Linked DNA regions of Mus musculus. Each later gene encodes a partner of the first gene's protein in a complex. Links are inferred from orthologs where the notes say so. Each region holds a gene or a part of one and is shown in the gene's direction. Other genes may lie near its edges.

Evidence for each region.
Region 2: the proteins of Tbc1d20 (region 1) and Rab1b are in contact, whole or in part, in a crystal structure (PDB 4HLQ), measured with the Homo sapiens proteins. The link is inferred for Mus musculus from reciprocal best matches to the Homo sapiens genes TBC1D20 and RAB1B. Residues at the interface, in NP_653229.1 of Homo sapiens: Gln97, Gln98, Leu101, Asp102, Arg104, Arg105, Leu107, Arg108, His141, Tyr142, Tyr143, Gln144, Gly145, His147, Asp148, Phe177, Met178, Asp179, Pro180, Thr181, Met182, Lys186, Val212, Ile215, Leu218, Ser219, Thr223, His227, Met272, Ala273; in NP_112243.1 of Homo sapiens: Ser17, Gly18, Ser36, Tyr37, Ile38, Ser39, Thr40, Ile41, Gly42, Val43, Asp44, Phe45, Gln60, Trp62, Ala65, Gly66, Gln67, Arg69, Phe70, Thr72, Ile73, Tyr77, Glu94.

The regions. Positions count from the first base shown.
Region 1 is NC_000068.7:152,300,328-152,303,827, forward strand, and holds part of Tbc1d20 (TBC1 domain family member 20), read left to right. Parts: intron 1-1,824; coding exon 1,825-2,010; intron 2,011-3,500. UniProt on the Homo sapiens protein: GTPase-activating protein (GAP) specific for Rab1 and Rab2 small GTPase families for which it can accelerate the intrinsic GTP hydrolysis rate by more than five orders of magnitude. Also shows GAP activity for RAB18 GTPase.
Region 2 is NC_000085.6:5,098,985-5,115,507, reverse strand, and holds Rab1b (ras-related protein Rab-1B), read left to right. Parts: upstream 1-8,511; 5' UTR 8,512-8,569; coding exon 8,570-8,583; intron 8,584-10,257; coding exon 10,258-10,330; intron 10,331-10,579; coding exon 10,580-10,675; intron 10,676-10,771; coding exon 10,772-10,867; intron 10,868-14,709; coding exon 14,710-14,841; intron 14,842-14,935; coding exon 14,936-15,130; 3' UTR 15,131-16,301; downstream 16,302-16,523. Other genes in the region: Klc2 (kinesin light chain 2), read left to right, coding at 1,337-1,567, 1,658-1,727, 2,568-2,790, 3,595-3,682, 3,788-3,889, 3,970-4,143, 4,271-4,370, 5,041-5,141 and 6 more. UniProt on the Homo sapiens protein: The small GTPases Rab are key regulators of intracellular membrane trafficking, from the formation of transport vesicles to their fusion with membranes.

The DNA.
Region 1 (3,500 bases):
GCCAGGGCTATACAGAAAAACCCTGTCTCCAGAAAACAAAACAAAACAACAACAAAAATAAACATCTTTTTTAAAAGTTGAGCTGGAAAAAAAAAAAAAACAAGCAAAAAACCCCAGCAACAACAACAAAAAAGTTGAGTTGGGCATGGTGATGCACATCTTTAATCCCAGCACTTGTGAGGTAAGCAGGCAGATTTCTTCATTTGAGGCCAGCCAGAGCTACACAAGAGAAACCATCTCAAAGCACTCCCAGCTGCCCGCCAAATAAAAAGTCATTTTTGAAGCCGGGCGTGGTGGTGCACGCCTTTAATGGGAGGCAGAGGCAGGTGGATTTCTGAGTTCGAGTCCAGCCTGGTCTACAGAGTTCCAGGACAGCCAGGGCTATACAGAGAAACCCTGTCTCAAAAAAACCAAACCAAAACCAAAACAAACAAAAAGTCATTTTTGTTTTGTTTTTTGAAATAAGACTTTATACCCCAGGTTGGCCTTGAATATCCTATGTAGAAGAAAGAGTCTGGCTTTGAATTTGTGAAAGTTCTGAGTCTGCCTCCCAAATGTTGGGAATAGAGGCATGCTCTGTTGTGCATGGCTTCTAAAAGAATAATTTGAGTATTATAAATTGGCTGTAAATAAGACTGTTACATATGAGTGTGAGCTGCTTTGTGACTGGAGTGTAGCTCAGTTGGAAGAGTGCTAAGAAGCCTTGGGTTCAACCCACTGCACTGCATAGAATCAGCCTGGGATCCCAGACCCCTAGTCAAAGCATGTAGGGAGCAGAGGCAGGAGGCCCAAAAGTCATGATCTCATTGTTGGCTACAGAGAGAGCAGAAGAGTGGGGCTAGAATGATGCTCAGGAGCTAAGAGCCTTACTCTTCATGGCTGCTCACAGCCACCTGAACTAGATCAGGGGATCTAAAACTTTCCAGACTCCACTGACCCCAGGCTTTCAATAGGTACTCACACAGACATGCAGGCAAAAAACAAATACACAGAAAAGAAAAATAGATAAATCTTTTAAAATATTTTTTAAAAATCTTAACATGATTAACACACTACTTTCTGATTGCCAATGATGAATGGAGCTTTAGAAAAAAAGATTTATTTTATGTGTATGAGTGTTGCCTATGGTTTTGTTAAATGCATTGTTGAGGGTGTCTTGAGTTAAACGTGGGGCCTCACACACAAGTGCCATGCTGCTAGGACACATTCCCCAAGCCTAGTATTGAGTTTTGAATTACATTTTTTTCCCAGTATAAACAACTAAATGTTTTCTGACCTGGTGGTAGTGGCACATGCCTTGAGGCCCATCACTTGGGAGGCAGAGGCGGGTGGATCTCTGTGAGTTCAAGGCCAGCCTGGTCTACTAAGCAAGTTCCAGCATAGCCAGGCAGGGCTACTCAGAGAAACCCTGTCTCAAAAAACAAAATTAAAGTTTTTTTCTTTCGTGTTAAGGGTTAAGCCCAAGACCTTTGGTATGCTAGGCAGGTCCTGTACCCTGACTTCACCAGCCCAAGAAGACCACTTAGATTGAGATATCTATGCTTTGTGAAATGTGAACAGAAAAAAAAGCATTGACAGTAGCTGGTACTTACTGATGATTCCTAAAACTGTAATTCCTTGTTACTTACGTGGGCTGTGGTCAAAGTGTTTACACATGTGCTAAATATGTGTAGGTTTTGTAAGAAGCAAGCATGAGGGCCAAAGCTGTCTTAAGAGAAAGTACCTTAGACCAAGTTAGGAGATGGGGACTCTAAGCAGAAAAGTACACATGCTAATAAGAGTGTGCTTCATTCTCTGCCACACGCTGTTTGTTTGTTTCTCCAGACTTTAATGCCAAAAGGAAAAAGAAGGTGGCAGAGATACACCAGGCTCTGAACAGTGATCCCATCGACTTGGCTGCCCTCCGACGAATGGCTATCAGTGAGGGAGGGCTCCTGACTGATGAGATCAGGTGCCAAGTATGGCCTAAGCTCCTCAACGTGAACACCAGTGAGCCACCGCCTGTGTCAAGTAAGGGAGCAGAATCCTGAGGTGGGGGCTTCAACTAGGGACTGACATCTTGTCTAGCTAGAGGTGTTTGCTTAGGGGGAAAAAGAGGAATTCTCTTACGTGGTTGGGAAGATGGCTCAGAGGACCTGGGTTCAGTTCCCAGCACATTTAAGGTGGCTTACAACCATTTGTAACTCTAGTTCCAGAAGGTTCAATGTCCCCTTCTGGCCTCCAATGGCACCAGAGAGAAGTGCTAAGGTTCCTTGGCATTCTAGAATTCTTTAATTCAGTACAAGCTGTTGATTAACGACTTTGTAAGCCATGTAGTGATGGGAAATCTGGGGAAAGCACTGGGAACAAGTGCTGCAGAGCACCAGTGCCATTGCCTGCCCTGCCACCCCTGCCACCCCTGCCACCCCTGCCACCCTGCCACCCTGCCACCCTGTTCATGTGGCAGTGGACTCTGTGTCCAGTGTTCTGGGACTTATCAAATCTCGGTGTCCCTGCTGTGTACCACATACTAGATGTGATTAAATGATTCATGTGCTAAAAGTCTGATGATGTAGTGCACAGTGGATGCTAGGTTGCTACATGTTACACTTGCTATGGATATTTGAGACTGGCTGGCTCAGAGCAGTGGGCTTTGTGTTGCAGGGAGTCAGGCGCTTTGCCCTGGGAAGGCATTTTTCTCTCACATTCCAAACTGCACGACAGATGCTAAGATGAAGAAAGTATATGTGGGTGAGGGTTGGGGGTGGGTATGTAAGTCTTACACAGGTTCCTCTGTGTGGGCTGTGAGGAAAATGAACTTACCCAGCACTTGGCTTGGGATAAGGATAAGACATGCTTGTATCTGTAAACTAGCACAGTTGATAAGAACATTTGCTTAACATGTACAAGGTTCAATCCTAGCACTGCACAAAACTAATTATGGTGGCACATGCCTGTAATCCCTAGTATTGGGATGGCATCAGGAGAATCTAGAGTCAGAGAGAGGCAGGTGGATCTCTGAGTTCAAGGACGGCCAAAAGAGGGCATCAGATGCCCTTATAGATGGTTGTGAGCCACCATGTGGTACTGGGAATTTAACTCAGAACCTCTGGCAGAGCAGCCAATGCTCTTAGTCTCTGAGCATGGCCTTTCCTTCAGTTTCTGCTCTACTCTTTGTCCCTGCATTTCCTTTTGACAGGAGGAATTCCTCAGTCGGGGGGCCATGCTTATCCACTGGATATGATCTATACAGGTTCTCTCTCCCCTTCGTTGGGTATTTTGGCTCATGTCATCCCTGTTGGGTCCTGGGAACCTCTTGAGTCCCTGGCATTTGGGACTTAAAGTGGCTACTCCCAGGTCCCCCTCTCCAACTGCTACTCACCTCTGTTCAAATTCCTGACCCTTTGTACGCCCCCCCCCCCAACACCTGATCCCCTGTGATGTTTTAATATGTAGTTGTTAGTATTTAGCAGTTTTACTCCAGAGCCACTCCCATGTCATATCCTCAGATGCTCAAGGCC
Region 2 (16,523 bases), on another chromosome or scaffold:
ATTGTATGTACTTCCAGGTTGTTTGAGGACTTGTTTTGTTTTGTTTTGTTTTTGAGACGGTCTCTACATAACCCTGGCTGTCCTGAAACTTACTATGTAGATCAAGCTGGCTCTGAACTCACAGAGATCCACCTGCCTCTGCCTCTGCCTCCTAAGTGCTGGAACAGAGCATGTGCCATCTGGACTTTTTTTTTTTTTTTTTTTTTTTTTAAGATTAGTGGTTATAAAAACACCTATCCCTTGAAATGTTTTCAAATATCCAAGTAGAGTGGCCCACACCTTTAATTCCAGCACTCTAGAGGCAAAAGTAGGTGAATACCTGAGTTCGAGGCCAGCCTAGTCTACAGAACAAGTTCCAAGACAGACAGGGCTACATAAAGAAAACTTGTCTTTAAAAAAAATGAAAAAATAGCCAGGCAGTGGTGGCGCATGCCTTTAATCCCATCACTTGGCAGGCAGATTTCTGAGTTCAAGGCCAGCCTGGTCTACAGAGTGAGTTCCAGGACAGCCAGCGCTACACAGAAAAACCCTGTCTCCCAAAACCAAAAAAAGAAGAAGAAGAAATAAAATAAAAAACATTTGCTAACTAAGTAGAAAATACAGGGTCCTAGACTCCAACCTTCTGGAAAGGCAATGTGTTACCTCCTCTCTTCGCTGTCAGTTACAGAGATAGTTCTGCAGGGTTCTAGGCTGCAGGTCTTTCACAGATAGGGAACAGAGTGTCATAGAGGTTACAGGCAGTGGAGATGGAGCATGGGGGAGGCATGACTGAAAAGAGGCAGTGATCCTGGTCTGAGAAGCATGGATAGGAACATATAGCCTATACCAAGGCCCATGACTAACGGACACCTGGAGAGTCAGATGTTAAAAGAGCTGGGTGTTGGGACTAAGGCCAGTGCAGCCCTTTCCACCCTTTAGGGACTTAGGACATATGCTGCCTCCCTTCAGCAGGCAGACAGGGCTGTGGACCCTTAGCAGATTAGGGTGAGGTCTCTTTGTGTCCTGTCAGCCACCCTTCAGGGTTCTTTGAACAATCACTAGCCCTAGACAGGAAGCAGTAATATATTGGTGATAGCTACAGTGGGTAGATTGTAACCAAAGGGGAACAAAGGGAGAGTCTGAGAGCTCAGATCCTACAGGATCTTGGCCAGCAAAATTACCAAACCTACTCTTCGGTCTTAGATGTAGGTCTGCGGTCCTGGGAAGGGGAGAACTTAGGAGGCCTGACATTTACCTAGCCAGGGCCCAGCCCTTCACTGGCCTCCAGGTGACTGAGGCAGTAGTTATAGGCAAAGTGATGGCTAGGATTCTGACCTTGGTCTGGCTGGCTGCACAGGTGATCCTGGCATTATCAAGCCATCTGGGGGCTGTGGAGTCAGAGAAGCAGAAGCTGCGGGCTCAGGTGCGGCGCCTGGTACAAGAGAACCAGTGGTTGCGTGAGGAGCTGGCAGGGACACAGCAGAAGCTGCAGCGCAGTGAACAGGCGGTGGCTCAGCTGGAGGAAGAGAAGCAGCACCTGCTATTCATGAGTCAGATCCGAAAGCTGGATGAGGATGCTTCCCCAAATGTGAGCCCCAGCTGGCCAACATCCAGTTCCCACATGCCTGCTGATACCTCTGCTACTGGGGCTGACAATCATTCCTGTCTTCCTTTCCAGGAGGAGAAGGGTGATGTCCCCAAAGACTCCCTGGATGACCTGTTTCCCAATGAAGATGAACAGAGCCCAGGTATAAAAGGGCAGTTAGCTCTGAGTTGAGGGAAGGGTCCTTTAAGTCCTGTAGGTCATAAGAGGTGGGTATTAGTGAGATCCATGCTTTTTTTTGCCTTATTTCCAATTACAATGTCCTAGCATGTTAGGGTTTAAAAGGCAAGTCTTGGCCAGGCAGTGGTAACACATGCTTTTAATCTCAGCAACGGAGAGGCAGAAGCAGGCGGATCTTTGGTGAGTTGGATGCCATCCAGGGCAGCCAGAGCTGTTACACTGAGAAACTCTGTCTCAAAAAAGAAAAAAACAAACAAACAGAACAAAACAAAAATCAAAGGGCAGGTTCAGGTTTTCCCTGCTGCATCCCTGAGCTCTGTGGAGAGCACATGACAAGCTTAGTAGGTCTGGAGGAGCTGAGCCTGGCCAAAGTCAGTTACTTTCTGGACCTCTTTAGACAGAAAAATCATGCAGGGCCTTGCTGAGCTGGACCAAAATGTTTCTCTTAAAATGTAGATGCAGGCGGGGCGGTGGTGGTGCACGCCTTTAATCCCAACACTTGGGAGGCAGAGGCAGGCGGATTTCTGAGTTTGAGGCCAGCCTGGTCTACAGAGTGAGTTCCAGGACAGCCAGGGCTACACAGAGAAACCCTGTCTTGAAAAACAAACAAAAGAAAATGTAGATGCAGATGAGATGAGGGGTAGGACTCACTCCTTGTGCAATAACTAACCTACTCTGAAAGTTCAGAAGCTGAGGCAGATTGGTGACTTGCCCAGGTACACAAGAGCAAAAGGTATAGTTGGCATATGCCAGCTTGGCTCAGAAAGGAGAAGGCACATCTGACTTCCTACCCTTGGCCTCGTAGCCCCCAGCCCTGGAGGAGGAGATGTAGCTGCACAGCATGGGGGCTATGAGATCCCAGCACGGCTACGGACCCTCCACAACCTGGTAATCCAGTATGCTTCACAAGGCCGCTATGAGGTGGCCGTGCCCCTCTGCAAGCAGGCACTGGAAGATTTGGAGAAGACATCAGGCCATGACCACCCTGATGTGGCCACCATGCTGAACATCCTGGCACTGGTTTATCGGTAAGGGCCCCCTGGCTGTGTGGGCATACCTGCATCCTTCCATATGAGTGTCTCGGGGACAGTTGAGCAGCACAGAAAGACGAACATGCCTCTGTAAAGCTGGCCTCCAACTGGAAATACACCTGTCAGAGTTTTAATACAAGGTTGGGCCAGGCAGTGATAGCACACACCTTTAATCCCAGCACTTGGGGAAGCAGAGGCAGGCGGATTTCTGAGTTTGAGGCCAGCCTGGTCTACAGAGTGAGTCCAGGACAGCCAGGGCTATACAGAGACACCCTGTCTAGAAAAACCAAAAAATTAAAAAAGTGAGTTAGAAGCCAGGTGTGGTGGTGCACACTATAAGCACTTAGGAAGTGGAAGTGAGACAGTTGGGAATTTTTTTTTTTTTTAGGTATTTTCCTCGTTTAGGGAATTGGTTTTATACCTAATTCAAGGCTACCTTGGGATACATGAAACCCTGGGAAGAGAGGAAAAGGACAAGCAAGGGAAGACAGGTGGGGTGGAAAGTTGGCCCAGAACTCATGATGGATGAAAGGGTTTCTGTGGCAGAAAGTGACCGTGAGCCAATGCATTGGGGATCACTTAAAGTTGAGTTACTCAGGGGTCTGGCTATGAGGTGTGGTAAACTGCCTAATGTCCTCAGAGTTCTCAAGGGTAGGGCTGCCCAGGCCTCCCATGCTCTGAGTTGCACTCCTATCGTGTCCACTCATCAGTGACCCCAGGAGAAGTGCCTGCAGGGACTACGGGCCCCTGGGGGCAGGCTTCGGGCTGGAGGACATTCCTGAATGTCCTGCCTGCTCCCAGGGACCAGAATAAGTACAAGGATGCTGCTCACCTGCTCAATGATGCCCTGGCTATCCGGGAAAAGACACTGGGCAAGGACCACCCAGCTGTGAGTAAGAGTTAGCCTAAGTGTTCCTCTCCAGTCCTCACAAGTTCCAGATCCCCCTGCCTGCTAGGGCCCTGAGTGAAGACACCTCCATTCTCCTACATCCAGGTGGCTGCGACCCTCAACAATCTGGCTGTTCTCTACGGCAAACGGGGCAAGTACAAAGAGGCTGAGCCACTGTGCAAGAGAGCACTGGAGATCCGGGAGAAGGTGGGAGCAGGCAGGGCCAAGAGTGCTGGGCAGACAGTAGAATCTGGGCAACTCTGAACCCGACCGCTGACTCTTACCAGGTCCTGGGCAAGTTTCACCCAGATGTGGCCAAGCAGCTCAGCAACCTGGCCTTGCTGTGCCAGAACCAGGGCAAAGCTGAGGAGGTGGAATACTACTACCGGAGAGCCCTGGAGATCTATGCCACACGCCTTGGTCCTGATGACCCCAATGTGGCGAAGACCAAGAACAACCTGGTGCTCTGTGGCTGGGCGGGAGGCTGGAAAGGAAGGAGGCAGGGAGGGAGAGGGCTGATGTCCAGGAGGAAGGAGAAAGAAAACTAAGCTCCCTGCAGGCTGCTTACCCACTGTCTCTGCCATCCAGGCTTCCTGCTACCTGAAACAGGGCAAGTACCAGGATGCAGAGACCCTGTACAAGGAGATCCTTACCCGTGCGCACGAGAAGGAGTTTGGCTCAGTCAATGGTGAGTCCATAGTTGCTATGTACCTCCAGTTCATTTAACACATGCTTACTCAGCCAGGAGTACCCAGGGCAGTACTTGGCCTTGCAAGCCATCTTGCCTAGAGTTTGGCAGAAGCCCAGACACACCTTCAGGAACCCATCCACCCAATTCAATGCCCTGGCCAGACAAATTGACAAACCCCCTGCTCAGTCAGTCTTTTGCTCTCTGTCTCTATCTCTGTCTCTCTCTGAGACAAGGTCTGACTATGTAGCCCTGGCTGTCCTGGAACTTACTATGTAGACCAGGCTGGCCTCAAACTCACAGAGATCTGCCTGCCTCTGCCTCTGAGTACTGGGATTAAAGGCGTCTATCAGTACACCCAGTCTCCTCTTTCTCTACATGACAATTTCCATTCACTTTGAGGGCTGGCCCGAGTGTCTTTTCTTCCCCGGAACAACCTTCTGGCCATTTCCTGATCCCCATTCCTCACCCTGGCCCATCATTCAGGCCCATCACCAGTCTCTAGTCCAAGGTGTATAAGGGCCTTCCCCATTACTCCTGTTCCATGTGGCTGGTTCATCTGGGTCCAGAGGATGGCCAGTGATGTTCTGGGTTTGCCTCTTGTTCTTCTATTCAACAAAGCCCAGTTTGGGTCATTCCTACATAGCCCTGACATTACTCCCATGTGCAGCCCGATTGGAGAGATCTGTGTGGCAGGCAGGTGACAGTCCTTCCCTTCTAGGAGAGAACAAGCCCATCTGGATGCACGCAGAGGAGCGCGAGGAGAGCAAGGTGGGCAGCTGTGGGCAGCTGGCAGGTGTAGGGCGGCTCTGAGGCTGGGATGGAAGGAGCCTGGCTTACTCCCGGCTCTCAACTGACTGGTCTCTCCCTCAGGATAAGCGCCGGGACAGCGCCCCCTATGGGGAGTATGGCAGCTGGTACAAAGCCTGTAAAGTTGACAGGTGAGGGCTGATGGGCCTGGGGCAGGAGGAGAATGAGTACCAGGGAAGTAGCATCCTTGGTGAGGGAGACCCAGGCCTCAGACTATCCTCACTCCTGTGACGCCTCTCTCATGCTAGCTCACCTCTCAAGGCCCTGACCCAAAACACTATCTGCCCCGTGACAGTTTGGCCCACTCACTGCTGGGTCCCCAGCTTCTGATCCTGGTGGCAGCATCCTAGAAATCTAGGGCTAGGCCAGGTCTTTCAGAATGGGAGAGACCAGTGGGTTTACCACAGGCTTAGGCAGGTGGGGAAAGGCAGATTCTGCGTGGCCTGTTTGCTCGATATTAGACCCCCATGTGATATCTGTCCACAGTCCCACAGTCAACACCACTCTGCGAAGCTTGGGCGCCCTGTACCGGCGCCAGGGCAAGCTGGAAGCCGCACACACACTGGAAGACTGTGCCAGCCGCAGCCGCAAACAGGTAGGGCTTTCATGGTGGAGGAGGATAAGTAGAGACCTATGAGGCTCCATGTGTGCTTTAGTCAGGTCTGATGCTTCCTGCCCCCTTCAGGGCCTGGATCCTGCCAGCCAGACCAAGGTGGTAGAACTGTTAAAAGATGGCAGTGGTGGACGAGGACACCGCCGTGGCAGCAGAGATGTGGCTGGGCCTCAATCTGAGTCGGACCTGGAGGAGTCAGGGCCTGCAGCTGAGTGGAGTGGGGTGAGTGTGGAGGCTGAGGAGGGCTGTAAGACTACAAAGCAGGGCCTAGAGACTGTTCTTCCCACAGGACGGCAGCGGCTCTCTGCGGCGCAGTGGCTCCTTTGGGAAGCTCCGGGATGCTCTGAGACGCAGCAGTGAGATGCTGGTGAGGAAGCTGCAGGGAGGGGGCCCACAGGAGCCCCCTAACTCTAGGTGAGCTGCTGACCCTCCCATCCCTCTCGGAAAACACTGTCACCAGATCTGCTTTATCATGCCCTCCATCCCAGACCCAACCTGGTATCCCTTTATTATCTCACCTAATATTAACAAATCCTGGCCCTCCTTTTTCTCAGGATGAAGAGGGCCAGCTCTCTTAACTTCCTTAACAAGAGTGTGGAAGAGCCAGTCCAGGTAAGAATGGAGGGCACCTGGTACTAGGCAGCCTAGACCCAGGCCTCTGGGCCCTGTTTTTACTGTGTATGGCCCCACCCAACTTCCCCTGGTGAGTCTTTAGCCAACCACTGCTCTGGTTTCAGGCGGAGATTGGTAGAAACAAGTGGAGGGAGAGGTCAGATAAAGGGAAAACTCTTGCCTTGGGGCAGAGATCCAGTCAACCAGTTCCCACTTGAAGCTCTCAGGTCCTGGTTGTGAGCTAAACTTTAACTTTGGCCAGTCTTAGACTGGCTGTATTTGCACAGGGCACCTAGTTTGGCCCTTTTATCATCCCTTCCTCTTCTGGAATGCTGCGTGTGTGTCGTCCCCCCACCCCCCACGTCCCCCTTCACTCCCAACAGTTTAGGACTAAGCTGCATCCTCTGCCCACAGCCTGGAGGCACGGGTCTTTCTGACAGCCGCACTTTGAGCTCCAGCTCCATGGACCTCTCTCGAAGAAGCTCCCTGGTGGGCTAAAGCTGAAGGGGCAGCCAGTCACCAGAGCCTCCATCCGACATGGTCCCTTCCCCCAGCCCTGCGCATGGGCCTGCTGCTTGTCCTGCCTGCCCCTCCCAAGGACCCCTGTCTTTTCTGTTCAATCTCAGGGTAACTTCCTCCCTTGTCATCTCAGCCATGGCCCTGGAGGACGGTCCTGCCGGCTCCAGCTCTGCTCCTTATTTATTCTTCCAGCAGGGGGCCTTTCTTCCCTGAGTTCAGGGCCTGTGGGAGTGGTGGCCTGTCTACCCAGCCCCAAAGCCAAGAACACTAAGTACTTGCTGTCCCCTCAGCACCTTTGCCCTCCACTCCCGGCCGTTGCTTCTGTATATAGAGAAATAAGTTATTGGCCGTGTGTCATCCTCTCAGCCCTCCTCTCAGTCCACGGTATTCCCGGGCCACCACCTGCCTCTCTCTTATCCAGTGGTACCGCCCAGGCCTTAAATCACCCCGTTCCCAGTGGTGGTATCTCCCAAGCTTCAAGTTCTGGGACCAGAGCCTCCCAAAAGGGGTCCCTAGACCTCTTCGCCTGGTCTTGGAGGGATTCGTTCCACTCCATCTTGCAAATGCCCAGACCCTCACACCACAGGGCCCTGTGCTGCTTCCGGGGACTTAATGCACTGTCCTCCCCCACCCCGCCCCCACCCCAGCCCCTCCCAGGCATGGCCTGACCCCACCCTGGGCACAGCCCATTGAGCCATCCTGCCACGCCATCCTTGCCTCAGCTTCTGATGTCCCCCTTCCTCCCACACAGTAGGAGGGGCTACCCCATTTGTTGGGTAAGGCAGTCACTCTCTATTTTCAGATGTTGCTGTAGAAATAAAGACGATTTGAATCTGAACCGGGCTTGTTTTGAGGAGTCCCAGAGCCCCTGAGCATCCCTTGAGTCGGGTGGAATCGGGAGAGGCTGCGGGAGTGAGGGATACAGGATACACACGCATATCATTCCCTGCCCTCGAGGCTGGAACTAATACTCTGCCATTATCCTGAACTGTTTGGGGGGGATGCTACAGATTTTGGGGTTGCACCTAACACATGCCCTTATGGGGTTCTAGACAATTCTGCCTGTTATGACTTCTTAATACGTTCTTGGACTGAGCTTCCTGAGATGGTTTTTCATATATGTAATACTAGTGATCATATAATCCTGGTACTAAGGCTGCAGTGTCCATTCCACGAAGAACACTGAATAAGTCAAAATTTTCTGGTCCTAAATACGCTACACCTTTTAGTTTCAATCTGCGAACCGAGAGGGTAAAAGTGGCTGCCCACCTCAGAGGCGAAGTATACCTACCTACCCCGGTACTAAACAAGATCCAAACTTGCAGATTAGGTAGCCCAACGAAGATTTTTTTGTAGCTGGGTCGGTTCAGTGATTGGGAAGACTACAGACCCCAGAAGGCCGTTCGCGGGTGGCTTCTGGAGAGTGCACGGCCGCTCTGTTCCCTGAGTTGCGCCTGCGCAGCAGTGGCAAGTCGAATATCCATGGAAACTACAGGTTCCGCAAGGCAGCGCGGCGCAACCCGAGTCGGAAGGATTTGCGCCTGCGCGGCGCGGGCGGGGCCTCTAGGGCGGAGTGGCAACCATCTTGGAACGGGAGGCGGAGCAGAGCCGACTGGGAGCGACCGAGCGGGCCACCGCTGCCGCCATGAACCCCGAATAGTGAGTGAGCCCCGCCCGCGCCGTGCGGCGCAGCCTCGATCCTGTCTATGGGGCTATATGCTTGCCGAAGTTGTCTGGCCTTGGTCAGAACTGCGCGGCGCCCCCACATCCGGGTCCCTCTTCCGCTGACCCCCCCCTTACATCCGGGTCCTGCCCCTCCCCCCGGGATCCCCAGGACCCCGACTCAACACCCCGAGTTCTGCAGCCCGAGGCCCGGAGGCTGCAGCCTGAATGGGCAGCACTTGGAGCCCGCAGCACCAGCCCTCACAGGCCTTTTTGGTTAGGTGACCGTGCAGATTTGGTCTCCCTGAGCTTCAATTTTCCCACCTACAGCTTGACCAAGGGCAGGCGGTTTGGAGCCCATCGCTAGAGTTTCTGATCTCCACAGTCGAGTACTTTGAGTTGGGCTGTGAACCTCTCTGCCTTTGCCTTTCTTCTGGAGCCTCGGTCCCAGGGCTGGCCTAGAAGCTAACAAGACAAGAGGGGACCCCCAAGTCCCTGTTTGATTCACATCCCCTGCAGATCCTTTCCTCCGAGGCTACCATTTGCCCTGCTTGGGTCGTGCTGTCATGGTGCTCCCGGCGGTCTGTTCTTTTCTGTCCTCTCACCTTTGCTCGGGCCTTCAGTGCCACTGTCAGCTGGCTTCCTGTCACACTGCCAAAGAACTTTAGGTGAATGTGGAGTTTGCTTGCTCCCTTGGAGTAGAATTTTTATTCCTCAAGCCCAAACCCTTTGGAGTAGATGGCCGGCATGCAGTTTTGCACCCACGTTATCTTCTTCCCTGTCTCCACTTCCTTTTTCTTCCCCAACTCGAGGCCTCAGATTTCCTTGAGGAGGCTCGAACTCAGAAGTGGGCTTAGGAGGGGGAAGCTACCGGCTGGCTGTCAAAGAGCTTGGAATCTGACAGGCCTGGTTTCCAGTCTCACAGTTTTCAACTGCTTAGGGCAAGTCACCTCCCTTCTGTGACCTCTGGCTTCCTCAGTGGTTGGAAATAACACTCACCCACTTGTGTGCACTGTTGTGAGGGTTTAGTAAAGGGTGATTTCAAGTGCTTCACACAGGGTCAGTTCCAGTTTAGTATTGACGGCTGCTTCCATGGCCACTTGTTGACTGCCTCCTGTTAGTGTGACTTCATCTCAGGCTCTTTCACATTTGTTTTTTGTTTTGGATTTTTCAGACAGGGTTTCTCTGCAGCCCTGGCTGTCCTGAAACTCACTCTGTAGACCAGGTTGGCCTAGGACTCAGAATTCTGTCTGCCTCTGCCAAGAGGCAAGCACCGTCCTCCCCTCACCACACACAGACACACACACACATACACACACTCACACACTCACTCATCACCTCCCATTCCAGCTTCATATTTATTTTGACTTTATGGGTCAGGTTTCCCTTTTGGGTCCTAGACTGGCATACTGTATGGCCTAATGTGATTTTCTTAGTTTTTACCAAATGATACCACATATCTCTTAGCAAACTGTGCTAGCTTATTGGGGGCTAATAAGGGTCAATTTTTTTTACTTACTTTTGTCCCTTTTTCAGAACAGTAGAAGGCTCTAGTGAGCACCGTAGTAGACCAAGCAGAAGTATGCCTTACAGTCCTGCTGTGCTTAGTGCAGGAAGGGACAGGGGAGGACTTCCTGCTTGCCTTCATACCTTCCCATCTTCTCTCGCCAGTGACTACCTGTTTAAGCTGCTTTTGATTGGTGACTCCGGCGTGGGCAAGTCGTGCCTGCTCCTGCGGTTTGCTGTGAGTAAGAAGCACCCCTCTATTATCCACTTGGGGTTCAGGCTGCCACTGGGAGGAAGAAGGGGCAACTCAGAACTCAGTGTAGTTGCAAGTCCTAAGAACCAAGAGTGAGGCTGCTGGAGCCGCCACAGCGAGGGCCCAGGCCTTCCTTGCAAGTTGGGGAGCTTAGAACCTCGCCTGGCACAGTGAGGAGCACAGCAGGGCAGGGACCTGTCTGCTCAGTCCGTTTCACCAGCCACAACCTTTCAGGATGACACTTACACAGAGAGCTACATCAGCACCATCGGTGTGGATTTCAAGATTCGAACCATTGAGCTGGACGGCAAAACCATCAAACTGCAGATTGTGAGTATGACCCCTCTCCAGCCCTCAGGCAAAAGTGGCTTCCTCGGGGTGGGAGTTCTCCCGTGGCTGACCTACCCTTTTCCTCCTGACTCGTAGTGGGACACAGCTGGTCAGGAGCGGTTCAGGACCATCACTTCCAGCTACTATCGCGGGGCTCATGGCATCATTGTGGTGTATGACGTCACTGACCAGGTACCGCTTGCAGCCTTGCCTCCTTAGCCTTGAGTTTTGATTCTTGCTGCTTTTCCTGTTTTCATTTTCCTTAAGCTTTCTAGAAGGGAGACACTATATTGAATCGCTCCATAAAAAGGAAATGGATCCTACCAAACCCTGTCATGGAGTCTTGATAGAACCAGGCTTCATGGCTCCTGCCACTTTATTCTAGACTTTCTAGACTACCATGTTTGGTGACAGTTAATCAGCTGGTTGGTTGCTCTTGGTTCCATGCTTCCTGTCTCCAGATTCGAGGAGCAATTGGAAGGCTTTAGACAACACGTGAAGGAGTCCGGTGTAAGCAGAGATTCTGAAATCCTGTATCTGCTGTGGTGGCTTCAGTCATGTGTCACACTGGCAGCAGCCAACAATTGTCCTGAGTGTGTCTTACAGCTTATAGACACTGTAGCCTTTAGATTTCCTTGGTTGTTTACCCCATTAAATGTGAGTTTCGCTCTGTTACCAGCCTGTCCCAAATTCCTCAGCTTAAGTGGTCCTGAGGTCCTGGGCAGCCACCACTGTGCCTAGCTTCTAATTGGTTGTTTGTTGTTGTTGTTGTTCTTTTGGTTACTTTGAGACAGGGTTTCTCTATGTAGCCTTGGCTGTCCCAGAACTCAATCCGTATAGACCAGGCTGGCCTCAAACTCAGAAACCCGCCTGCCTCTGCCTCCCAAGTACAGGTGTGCGCCACCACTGCCTGGCTATATAACTGTCTTTTGATGCTCATGAGAAGTCCCTCATGTTCCCATCTTAAAGACGGAGACGTGGTACAGGCTGGTGCAGTAACTTGCTAGGGCCTTCCATCTAGTTATAAAAAGCCTGGTCCCCTGACCCATCTGCTTTGCTTTTCCTATTAAGCCTTGTTGCTTGCATCTCGCCAGGGATATGGAAGTGTGATCAGTCCTGGGCTGGGGGAGCCCAGAGGCTGTGATACCCATGTCTTCACTTCCCAGCTCTTCTAAGCTGGGTGACCCAAGTGTCACGCAAAGGTCACCAAGACTTTAGTTACTACCAAAAAGCCCAGTCACCTTCTTGCCCGAATTGATTTCTTGCACTGGTTTTCTTCTCTTTCCTTGAACATTTTTGTAGCTCCCCTGTCGTCTCCCCCACACCCCCACCCCAACTAGCATATACTCAGCCAGGGAGCTGTACACCAACCCCTTTAGTTCTTTTTTTATTGACACACCTTTACTGCCCACTAACCTATATTTTGAGCATCCTGACTGACTCTAGCCTCTTCTGTGGTTTGGGTTTTGTCTTGTGTTCTGGGATTCTTATGTCCCCTGGTTCCCAGCTCTCCGCTGCGCTGTGCTGGCCCTCAGTGTCTGTAATGGGAGCAATCCCGATGCTCTTCTTAGCCAGTGAATGAAATGTCAACGCCCTCGTGCTCAGTCCGTCATCAAAGAAGCCAAGGCATGAATCCAAACAGGAGCCACAGAGAAAGGCGCCTCCTGCCTTGTTCCCCATAGGTTGCTCAGCATCCTTTCTTAGACTACCGAAGGCCACCTGTCCAAGGGTGACACTGCCCACAGTGAGCTGCACACCCCTCCCTCCCCCATCAACCATCGATCAAGAAAATGCCCCATAAGTTTACAGGGCAGTCTGATGGAGGCCATCCCTCAGTTTAGTTGTCCTCTTTCCAAATGTTTAGGTTTGTGTCAAGTTGAAAAGCACTGACTAGTACAGCATGCTTCTATTTGAAGAAATTGTTTTCCAGAGGAATCAGTAACTTGCCTCTGGTATCCCAGAAAAGATAGAGCCCCTTCCCTGCCTTCAGCTGCCTCTGTGGGCTCCACACCAGCTGCAGGATTCAGACTCCATCGCTCCACTCACCATCTTCCCAACCCACTTCCTGCATCATCATTTTGTAACATAATCCTTGTTTTCCTGAACAGAAAACTTGCCGTCTCCATAGTTAGTCTCCAGGCACCTCCGTCCTTCCCTCCTCACTTCATCTGTCCCTCATAATAATAGCAGTGATGAGGATAATAGCAGCTCTTGCTAATTGAGCGCTTGTTATGAGACAGGCCTGCTTCCATTCTCCTGCAGACAACAGTTCTGCTGGGAGGTGTTGTCTGTACAAAAGAGGAAACTGACCAGGTCAGGTGACTAGATAACTGAGGTCATGTAATAAATGACCAAGCTTAGGTGACAGTCCAGATTAAGTCTGTGCTCTTTCCTGCTTTGTTCCCTGGTTTAGGACTCTAGATTAGCCCATCCGCTTCTTAGTTGCTCTGCATCTTATTGGTCTGCTCTGGTCCTGCCCAGGCACTTTCTAGAACACAGGTGTGACCTTACAGTCTTCGTCTAAGAAAACCCCCACTAGCTCATGATTGTGCTAAGTTCATCTAGGCAGAGCTCTGTCCTGACCAATTCCTCCCAACCTGCAGTCTGCTCTTCTCCCACTTCCCAAAGACACCACACCCTCTCATTCTAGCAGATGCTGTGCCCTCAGCGGGTAGCTTTTAGTTGAGTCCATGCTTGCCTGCTAGGGTTGGCTGTTGCTTCCTAGGCAGTAATCGTCCTGGGGCTGCTTGACGCTGGCTTTTTATCCCATCTTGTCATGTGTGTGTACTGGTCTGTTTCTCTACGGTCCCCAGTACCCTAAAGCAGGTGTATGTTTGATGTCCCCTCCTTTCAGCATAGAGCCCAGCTTAGGACATGCCGGTGTGTACATTAGAACACAGTGTACTTGAAGGAAAAGAGGAGCTGGGGCGATGGCTCAGCAGTAATTGTGCTCACTGCTCTTACAGAGGACCTAGGCTCCTGTTCCCAGCACTAACGTGGCAGCTCACAGATCTCTATCACTCCAGTTCCAGAGGAACGGACCCCTCTTCTGGCATCCAAGAGCATGAGCCACACACACGGTGCACGCGTAGCCCATTTATAGAAATTCCATCCTTTGTACAAGTTCCATGTCAAGCTGCTAGAGTTGTTAGTATCAGAAGCAGGTGAACCTATCTCCTTCATCAGCCATGGTCGCCATGGGAGGAACCTTTACCTCCCATGGGCTCCAAAGCTTCAAAATTTAAAGGCAGGAGATTATGTAGCTCAGTCGTGAAATGCCTGCCACATTTGGGGAGGGGCGGGGGCTTGGGGAAGTGTTGAAAAGGCATTTTCTGTGTAGCTCTGGCTGTCTTAGAACTGACCAGGCTGGCAACTGAGAGCTTCACCAGCCTCTGCCTCCTGAGTGCTGGGAGTAAAGGCGTGCACCACCATGCTTGCCTCCTTTTCATTATTTTTAATGACTTATTTGTATTTTATATGCATTGGTGGTTTTGCCTTCATGTGTGTCTGTGAGGGTGTCAGATCCCCTGGAATTGGAGCTACAGACAGTTGTAAGCTGCCTTGTGGGTACTGGGAGTTGAACCAGTGCTCTTAACCACTGGGCCATCTCTCCAAGCCCCCCTTTTCCTTTTATTTTGAGAAGGTCTCATTGAGAGGGTCTCATTGAGACCCTAGGCTGGTCTCAAACCTGTGATCTTCCTGCATCAGTCATGCCTGGTGTCACCTGCCTTTCTTCTGATGTCCTTGGCTTCCCAGGAGAGGGTTAGGGAGAAAGAACTGCAGGAAGCAGCAATGACTGTAGGTGCAGGCGGCTGTTGAGGTGATGGCCACTGGCAGGCACTACTCCACTCTGCTTCTGGTTTTCAGGTTTCCGCATGGGAGAGAACCAGGGGAAAGCTAAACCTGGGCTTGGGGTGGGGGAGAGACTTTGTCAGAATCCCCGTGCTCGGGGCCTGCCTTTCAAAGGAGTCCTGTTCTCTAGACCTGGGTTGACCTGGGTGTGGGTGTGCAGTAACTTTGGACACTGTGCCTAGGAGTCCTACGCCAACGTGAAACAGTGGCTGCAGGAGATAGATCGCTACGCCAGTGAGAATGTCAATAAACTCCTGGTAGGCAACAAGAGTGACCTCACCACCAAGAAGGTCGTGGACAACACCACGGCCAAGGTGAGCAGGCCTGCCCTGGCTGTCAGGGGTCTGGGGCCCACATGCCTTCACCCCTTCTCTCCCTGCTCCCCTCTCTCTCTTCTTCCCTTCGCAGGAATTTGCAGACTCTCTGGGTGTCCCCTTCCTCGAGACAAGTGCCAAGAATGCCACCAATGTTGAGCAGGCATTCATGACAATGGCTGCAGAGATCAAAAAGCGGATGGGGCCAGGAGCAGCGTCTGGGGGTGAACGGCCCAACCTGAAGATCGACAGCACCCCTGTGAAGCCTGCTAGCGGTGGCTGCTGCTAGGAGGGGCACTTGGGGGAGGGCACCTTGTCCAGATGATGCCCCTGGAGCGGGCAGGAAGTGCCTCCCTCTCCTAGGGCATTTGAGTCTGTAGCTTTGGGGTGTCCTGGGCTCCCCATCTTCCTCTGGCCCATCTGCCTTCTGCTCTGAGTCCCAGTCCTGTCAGGGCCCCCGTGGAGGACATGCAGAGCCTGTGGCTGGGGTGGTCACAGGGACAGCTCCGCTGCTGCCTCTGGGTACCTTGAAAAGATGCCCACCACGCACCTTTCTTTGGAATGAGGGCTCCGCTGTCTGTCACTCACCCCCATGTATGCTGCACTGGGTTTCTCTTTCCTTTCTTCCCAATAGCAAGGGCCTCCCTGCCTCTGCTGCCCCTGGGTGCAGGCAGTAGCCAGGGGATCCAGGGCCTCAGATCCAGGGTCCTGCATCGGACCTCAGGACAGGTGCCAGGGCTGCGAGAGCCCCATAGCCACCTTTTCCTCATCTCTGCCTCACTCCATCGCTCCCACACAGCTTGAGCCGTCCAGCTGCGGTTAGGTCTTGAGCACATCTAGGGTAGGTGGGCGGATGGCTGCGGGGCCTGTGTCTCAAGCCGGGAGGGAGCCTGCTCCTGCCTCCCCCTGCCCTGCCTGAGCCAGGCCCATGTGCTGCCTGCCCACCGAGCCCCTTTGTCCCTGAGGAAAGCGGAGGCGGAAGGCCCACCTTGCCAAAGGCCGGGCACCAGCCTTAACCCTCACTCTGCCAGCACCACCTCCCTTTTCCGAGGCAGCACATCTGGCTTGTTCTTCCTCCATTCCTCAGAGCCTGACAGGGCCAGACCTGCTTCTCTGGGGAATGTGGGTGCAGCTTGGGGTTGTGGGGCTCTTCCCCCTCCCAACTCAGAATCCTGGCCCCCACCCTCTGGCACAGCTTCCTGTAGAAAACCTTTGGTCTTTACCTAAGAAGCCATGTCCTTTGTGCTGTCTCTTGCCAGTCTCACCCTACAACCTGTCCTCCCCCTCCAGTGTGTATTTAAGTCCCTGGGCTGCCCCTCTGGGAGGGAGCCTCTTCTCCCAGGTTCCCCTCTGATGTCACATCAGGCATCTTGCAAGGAAAAGCCACTTGGGGGAAGATGGAAAAGGATGAAAAAATAAATTTCCACTGGCCCTTGGATAAGCCAAGGGTTTTTGCAAGGAAGCGGTGGTGACTGAGTGTGGTCTATGGTCAGAGTCAGCTTTGAGTTGCTGGGTGGAACTGGAGTCCAGAGTTTGGTGTGATGCATGGGGGGTCCTGGCTTGGACTGTATCTTAAGCTTGCTGGTAAAAGCCCTTGACCCACATACTGGGGCTGGGAAAGCCTGCTGTGCGGCTATGGGATGTCCCCAAGGGCCCAGCATGAATCTGTCAGAGGGAGGCTG